Nothobranchius furzeri: one gene and its partner. The protein of the gene in region 1 interacts with the protein of each later gene in a pairwise test. Links are inferred from orthologs where the notes say so. Each region holds a gene or a part of one and is shown in the gene's direction. Other genes may lie near its edges.

What was found.
Region 2: the proteins of toporsa (region 1) and satb1b interact in a two-hybrid assay, tested with the Homo sapiens proteins (2 studies listed by BioGRID and IntAct). The link is inferred for Nothobranchius furzeri from reciprocal best matches to the Homo sapiens genes TOPORS and SATB1.

Annotation. Positions count from the first base shown.
Region 1 is NC_091746.1:80,962,794-80,966,549, reverse strand, and holds the start of toporsa (topoisomerase I binding, arginine/serine-rich a), read left to right. Parts: upstream 1-1,201; 5' UTR 1,202-1,340; intron 1,341-2,283; 5' UTR 2,284-2,286; coding exon 2,287-3,756. Other genes in the region: ndufb6 (NADH dehydrogenase [ubiquinone] 1 beta subcomplex subunit 6), read left to right, coding at 25-117, 325-369, 512-577. UniProt on the Homo sapiens protein: Functions as an E3 ubiquitin-protein ligase and as an E3 SUMO1-protein ligase. Probable tumor suppressor involved in cell growth, cell proliferation and apoptosis that regulates p53/TP53 stability through ubiquitin-dependent degradation.
Region 2 is NC_091745.1:63,026,995-63,030,401, reverse strand, and holds the end of satb1b (SATB homeobox 1b), read left to right. Parts: intron 1-345; coding exon 346-975; 3' UTR 976-2,784; downstream 2,785-3,407. UniProt on the Homo sapiens protein: Crucial silencing factor contributing to the initiation of X inactivation mediated by Xist RNA that occurs during embryogenesis and in lymphoma.

The DNA of each region.
Region 1 (3,756 bases):
AACTTTTTGTTTGTTTTCTTGCAGACCTACAAAGCATACAAAGGTGGAGTTTTCACAATCACACGTCTGCTCCTGCCTGGCTGGATTGTTCACTACTATGTGAAATATCACGTTGCTGTAAGTTTCCCCAAAAGTTTTGCAGTGTTTGTAGCACGTTTCTCCACCTGGTTTTCACTCATCCATTAAGCAGGATAGGACTAGACTTTTTCCTGTGTCTTCAGTTGTTTCTTGGCTATAATCAGACAGTCTCACTCAGTTTATGGATTCAAGTTTAATTTGTGTGATCAGTAGGATTACTAGCTAAAAGGTACATTTTCTCCACAGACAAAACCATATGGGATTGTGGAGACGAAACCCAAGCTTTTACCTGTGAGTATAGCATATATACTAGTTCTGAATAATACACGTGTGTTATTTTAATTAGCTGTTTTCTGTTTATGTGGTACAATCATTGTCTACCACTGACGTCATTGACTTGCTGTCTGAGATGTTTAATTGACCTTTCTTACAGGGTGACACCATTCTGGAGACTGGCGAAGTGTTACCTGATCTCCCAGAGATCCATGGCCATCACTAAATAAAAAAAAATGTGATTAATTTTTTTGTTTTTCTGTTGTAAAAACTGTATATTACAATAAAATATTACAAAATTCTTCATGTCTGACTGTAATGAGTGTGGTGTTGGGTTTTAACTGGAAGAATTTCATCATTTATTCCAGGACTTTGTGCTCATGATAAGATTTAGTTTTGTGTAGCTTTTCTTTTTAATAGGTTTTTAAATTATTATGTTGCATGAACATTTTAACATGATTGGTGTTTATGAGGCGGTCATAAATCAGTTTATGAGGTGTCGCAATTAGCACCGTTACCTCGCAGAGAGACACTCGCAGGTCGAAACTGCTGCTGCACCTTTTCTGCGCAGTTAGTACTCACCCCCCTCCTCGTGTGTGTGAACCTGAAAAGTTGTTTAATTGTAATCATGTTTTTTACTGATCGTGATTGAATTGGATTAATTTGCATCTTAGGTTTTATAGTCTTTAAACGGTCTCAATTCCATTCATGCTAGATCAAATCACACTGTTAGTTATTGTAGTCTTACAGACATCCTCAAAGCCTGGTTTTAGTGGAACTTTTTCACTTGAGTTATAAATAAAACCGGAAGTGTCTAAAGAAGTGCTCTTATTTTGAAGAGCGGAAGTGTTCGAACGTTGAAATTATGAAACCGGTGGAAAGGAGGTGAAACGCTAGCTGACAGATGTTTACTAAAAAGTGGATTTATTCATGAAGGAAACTCCTAATTCGTTGCCAGTGGTGTGTATGTGTGTTTGTCAAAGTCGCAGGTAAATATCTTACAACTCATTAACGGACTCCTTGCCGTCGTGTCATAACTTTAACGGCACCGTGCTAGCTAACGTAGCCACCTTGTGCTAGCTTCAACCAAAAACCCAGCTATAATCTACAGTTAGCTTTGTTCTGCGAATAAGAATATTTTTATGACTATTTGTTGAGGTTGTTTATGTTTTCAAACTAATCCAACATTAAATTTTCATCAAATCAAAACGGGATCGTAACAACGTCAGCATTCACTAAAACACACAACAAATGTGCCGAAAGACATATTTAATACGTTTTCTTGCGTTTCTATTATCTTGCCAAATATAAGAGCCATGTCTTTTTAGGTTGTCTTTCTGATTGTCCCGTTTAGTTAGTTTTGACTTATTTGAAAGACAACCAAAAGTTACAGCTCCTTAAAAGACAAAATATGGGCTGTGACGGTGATAAATGTCCTCTAGAGTAGAAATCTGTTCAGGTTAACGAGAATTGTTTGTGTTCATTTTCATATTTTCATAATGGGGCAGAAACGTAACTTTTAAATGCATCGCACTTTTCGCAGAAAAAAATCACGAAGTGCTTCACAGTAAAAATAGAAAATACGAGGAAATAAACAAGCAACAATTATAAATAAAATAAGGCAAAGCAAGTTTAAAAAGCCAAGTCTTTAAAAGTTTCATAGTTTATTTTAATCAACAACTTTTTCCATTGTTTATTACTAAGATCTATGTAAATCTGTAATAACACCAGCCCTGTGAACTTAGTGAATAAATGATTCAAACATAAAATAAATTCCATAATTTAATCATAGATGGAAAGCGGTTTATATATTTTTGCTGTTCTAGTTACTGCGTTTTATTCAATCAGCCTGCTTAGGTTGGCTTTATTGGTGTTTAAAGTAAGAGCTTGTATTTTGAAGATCACTCCAGCTTTTTCTTCTCTCCACATTAGATCATGTCTGCAGTCCAGATTGCCCTGCAACACAACCAGAACAGTGCCAGAGGTAAAAACTCTAAAGCGATGTCTGGAGAGGCATCGCCAGACTCCAAGTGCCCCATTTGCTTGGACAGATTCAACAACATTTCCCACTTGGACCGCTGCCTGCACAAGTTCTGTTTTCGCTGTATCTTGGAGTGGTCCAAAAACAAGGCCGAATGTCCGCTCTGCAAACAGCCGTTTAGGTCAATCTATCACAGCGTGAAGTCAGATCAAGACTTTCAGAGGTATGAAATCAAACAGCAGGTGGAGAATGCCTCTTTTGGCTATTTTGAGGGAGTGCGGTTCAGATACCGAACAACTTTCACTGGAGTTCGAGCAACGAGACGAACCTCTCCTCCTCCAGACAACGGAGTCATGTTCGAAGCCGCGACACGCCCGACCCTGGAGCAGCACCGAGATCATTACATTCGACGCATGATGACGAGGTTGGAAGCCAAGAGGCGAGCTGCGAGGGAAGGCAGGGCGGTGAACAGTGTCAGAGAGCAAGAGATGATAAACTTCAGGAGGGAACTGTACCGACGGGGTGTGAGGGTTCAGAGCGTGAAAGATGGCGGTCGGTCCCGAAACACCTCTGCTGAGTTTTATCGAAGAAATCCAGCCTGCCTGCACAGACTGGTCCCCTGGCTGAAGAGAGAACTGATGGTTTTGTACGGGGCCCATGGCTCTTTGGTCAATATAGTTCAGCACATCATCATGTCACGCATTACGCGTTATGATATGGAGGATGGAGCGATCCAGGGAGAGCTCAGACCATTCCTGCAAGGTCGAACCGAGCACTTTCTACACGAGTTCCTCAGCTTTGCAAAATCCCCCTTCAATATGGAGGCCTATGACCAACATGCAGTCTATGACTGCCCCGCCCCCTCCGGAAACGAAGGCAGCAGCTCCAACTCATCTGTGATTGCTATCTCGGAGGATGAGGATACCTTTGCAGAAGTGGATCCCCCAGGGGAACCTACTTCTCTTAGCCACTCTCTGTGGGACGACGAGACGCCTGGACCGTCATATTCCACTTCAGCCGAGCAGAGAGAAGCAACAGCGATGACACCTTTGAACTTGGACTCAGATATTAGTTCAGAGGAGGAGATGCAAGAGTTTGAGGCTTCTCCACACCGGCAGAGCTCACATAACCCAGCTGGCGTGCCTCAGAGTAACCGCAACGAGGAAGACCGTGTGTCTTCTGACAGCGAGGACTGTGTCATCATAGGGTTTGTCAAACCGACAGCAGAGAGGACTCCTGAGCTGGTTCACCTCTCCTCTGACTCGAACGAGTCTGAGATTGAGGATACTGAAGAGGCACCTCTCCCGCCCCATCACATCCGTTTCACCAGTTGTAGCCCTGCAGCTTCACACAGAAGCGGCTCTGTCAAGGTGGGACAAAGCCCAGAAACAGATCGCCATCGTCAGTTGGATTCAAAAGAAAGA
Region 2 (3,407 bases), on another chromosome or scaffold:
AAAACTGTTTTGACTTGCACCTTGAATTACACAAATGTTCTTGCAGAAATAAAAAATAAATACAATAATCCCTAATGACCTTTGACCTCTGGGCACATCAAATGTCCTTCCTCCTGCTCCTGCTTATCTTTGCAGATGAAATCACCACATTTGTTTGAAGTATCTGTTTTAAGGTGTCAGACTAGCCATTAGCTCATCAGTCCTGGGGCTGTAAACCCTATTTCTATGAACTGAGGCTGTTCACGAATAATTCTTTTCAACTTTTATAACAAACCTGTTTATGGTTCAGATTGGTAACACCCTTACCTTCTTTTTGTTCTTGTTTTTTTTTTTTCTCAAATTCAGTCTCAGTCGACTCAGCTGCAGCAGCACCAGCCCTCCCTGTCCCTCCATCCTTCCCAGCCCCTTTTGTCCCAGCAGCCCCTGCAGCAGCAGCAGCCCCTCACCGGCCCCAGGCTGCCTCCCCGCCAACCCTCCACCGCCTCCCCGGCCGAGACGGAAGACGAGGGCAGCCGCGGAGGGAGCATCAAGTCCCGCAGCAGCGGAGGGAAGATCTCCCTGGAGGCGCTGGGCATCCTGCAGAGCTTCATCCAGGATGTGGGCCTCTACCCAGACGAGGAGGCCATCCACACCTTGTCCGCCCAACTGGACTTACCCAAGCTCACCATCATCAAGTTCTTCCAGAACCAGCGCTTTTACATCAGCCACCCAACCAAGGCGCCCAAGGAGCCCAACAACAACAACAGCAGCGGCAGCAACAACAGCACAGCGGTGAACACCAGCAGCAGCAGCAGCAGCAGGAGCAGCCCGGCCTTCGAGGAGGAGCTGACAGACTTCAGGGAGAGCGGAGAGCTGCTGAAGGAGTTGGACGAGAGCACGCAGACCAACAGCACCATCTTCTCCATCAAGATCGAGGAGCAGCTGGGCCGAGGCGCCGAGACCCACCACGAGTCGGAGCATGAGGTCAAAGAGTAGAAATCCGGCTCCCTCCGATCCTGGACTCAGAGTTCTGACCCGCACACTCAGACTGATGACCGTGCTGAATCCGAACGCTCTGAACGACACGACCCGGCGAGCTGGAAAAGCAGACAAGCAGCGTTGTCTGTGCACGCAGCGTCGGGACTGAACGGGAAGTGTTTATGTATAAATTAAAGTTACAGGCTCTGTGAAGTGACACACACACACACACACACACACACACACACTGAAAACCCATCTCATGTACTACTTTTTGGATTTTGTAAAACTTGTAATATTCACTGTAAAAACCGATGCATCGTTTTAATAATCTGCACAAAAACATTATTGTAAAGTACGTCACCGTGGATATTTGCTGGCTGCACTCGATGTCTGTTGTTTTACACTGACTATCTTTTTGAGCTACAGATTATATTAAAAAGAAAAAAAAATCAAAAAGACCCCCTGGAGTTTACTAAGAATTTGATAGGTGTATGTAATGTTTTAACTGGAATTTTCATTTTTGTTAATATCAAATGAAATCGAGGACCAAGTGGTTGTAAAGGCCTTAATTGTGAGGTGTGACGTCTGCAGCCTGCTGGAGGAGGAGTCATTCTTTTAAAAAGAGCATCGTGTGATTAGAAATCACTCCAAACTCGGGAACGCAATCACCCGAGAACAGCCGAACCGTTGCTTATCATTTGTTAGGGAAGATATATAATATAAATATATATAGACATTATATTGTAACTGTAAAAAAGTACAGTCTTAAAGAAACTATGCCAACAAATGCCTTGTACAATACGGCACTGCCGATGTTAGATTATTTTGCAAAACCTTTGTCACTGTAACTCTGACTCGCCACACAGTTAAAACAATGTGAATTAAACTATGTTTATGTTGTCTGACATTATTTATTTGCTGTGTTTCTGATGTAATTACAGTTTATTTTAAAAGTTTATCACAGTTTTTCCTCTTTTTTTTCTAAATTCTGCCATTTTTTTCTATTTATAAATGTGATTTAACACTGGCAGTGGAAGCAAAAAGTGTCTTAAACGTCTTCAGTGGAGAAATGTGCTTTAAAGGTCGCCTATAAAGTGCTGTATGTCGAGCAAATCGTGCTACAAGCTTCACAATTATTGTCGTATGCAACTTTTACTATCATGCAAATAAGCTTAGGTGAGATGACTAACCTATGGAACACCTTAGAGAGAAGAGAACATATGCAATCTGTGTGAAAATCCATGTCTGCCATGTGTCTTCCTTTGGTTCGAGATCCAACTCTAAAAGCTCCTCCTGTAAAAAAAAAAAAAATAAGAGAAAAAATAACAATCCTGTACAAAAAGTTTTTTTAAGCGTTGATTCAGACGAGAACACCCGTTATTTTGTTACGACTGACTGTTTTCTATGTGTTCCTCGGTTCCTCTCTGCAGAGATGTTCTAACTAGAAGTGATTGTTAATGACACGATTAAACCGTTTGTATGGTGACACTGATTCCTCGAGCGGACTCTTTTGCCCTCAGAGGGGTTTTTACCAAGCGGAGCTGAGATGATGTGAGCTGTTTCTGCGGCTGAGAGACGCCGGCTGACCCGGACATGTTTGTAACAATAACTGTAAATATCACATCCTATCAACCGCCGATTGTTTATGATTGTAAATAGGTTTGAAGTTTGTGTGAGAGCTCACGGCGGGGAGCTGAATCCTGCGCTCTGTTGTGCCTCCTCTTCTCAGAGCGACTGTACCTGGGCTCTTCTTACTGCTGAGTGTATCTGAAACACCTGTGAAATCTCAAATCAATAAAAGCTGAGGTGTGAACACCTGGAATGGAGAAATGGAGAAGCCCTCTTGCAGCACAGGTGTCCTGACCTGACGGTGAACTCCAGGTGAGGAAATTACCTCACCTGTGAACATCCAGACAAGCGGTCTGGGTTCTTTTCATGTTTTGCTCATTGAAACACAAATAGATGGGAAAAAAAAAAGATTCAGAATTGTCAAACACTCAGGATGTTCTTCCCTCTTTTGCCAGAGGTGATGATCTGGGGACACGAAGCACATTAAGGGGTGAAAACAAGATGTCGTGAAGTAAAGAAGCACCATTACGCTTCATTATTTCCTGATTTTTCTTCTTTTTGCATTAAAATGGCTGACTGACAGAGGTGCCAACGAACATCAGCAGCTTCAGGATTGTATCATTATCACCATTTTCACGAGGATCAGCCTCATTTGTCTCAGCAAAAACCTTCTGGAGCACCAATACTTCCATAGGACAGATGTACCTGGTGCAGGAAGAGAAAAATACACCAGAACAGGTGATTTTGTGTCCTAAACTGGCTTTAAGTTTCTCTGCATCTCTTCACATCAGATATCTCCTCACACGTTTAGTGGTGAGTCAACTCAGGAATCAGTTGCTTATTTTTATATGGTCTTTACATTATTAGGCCACGCCAGA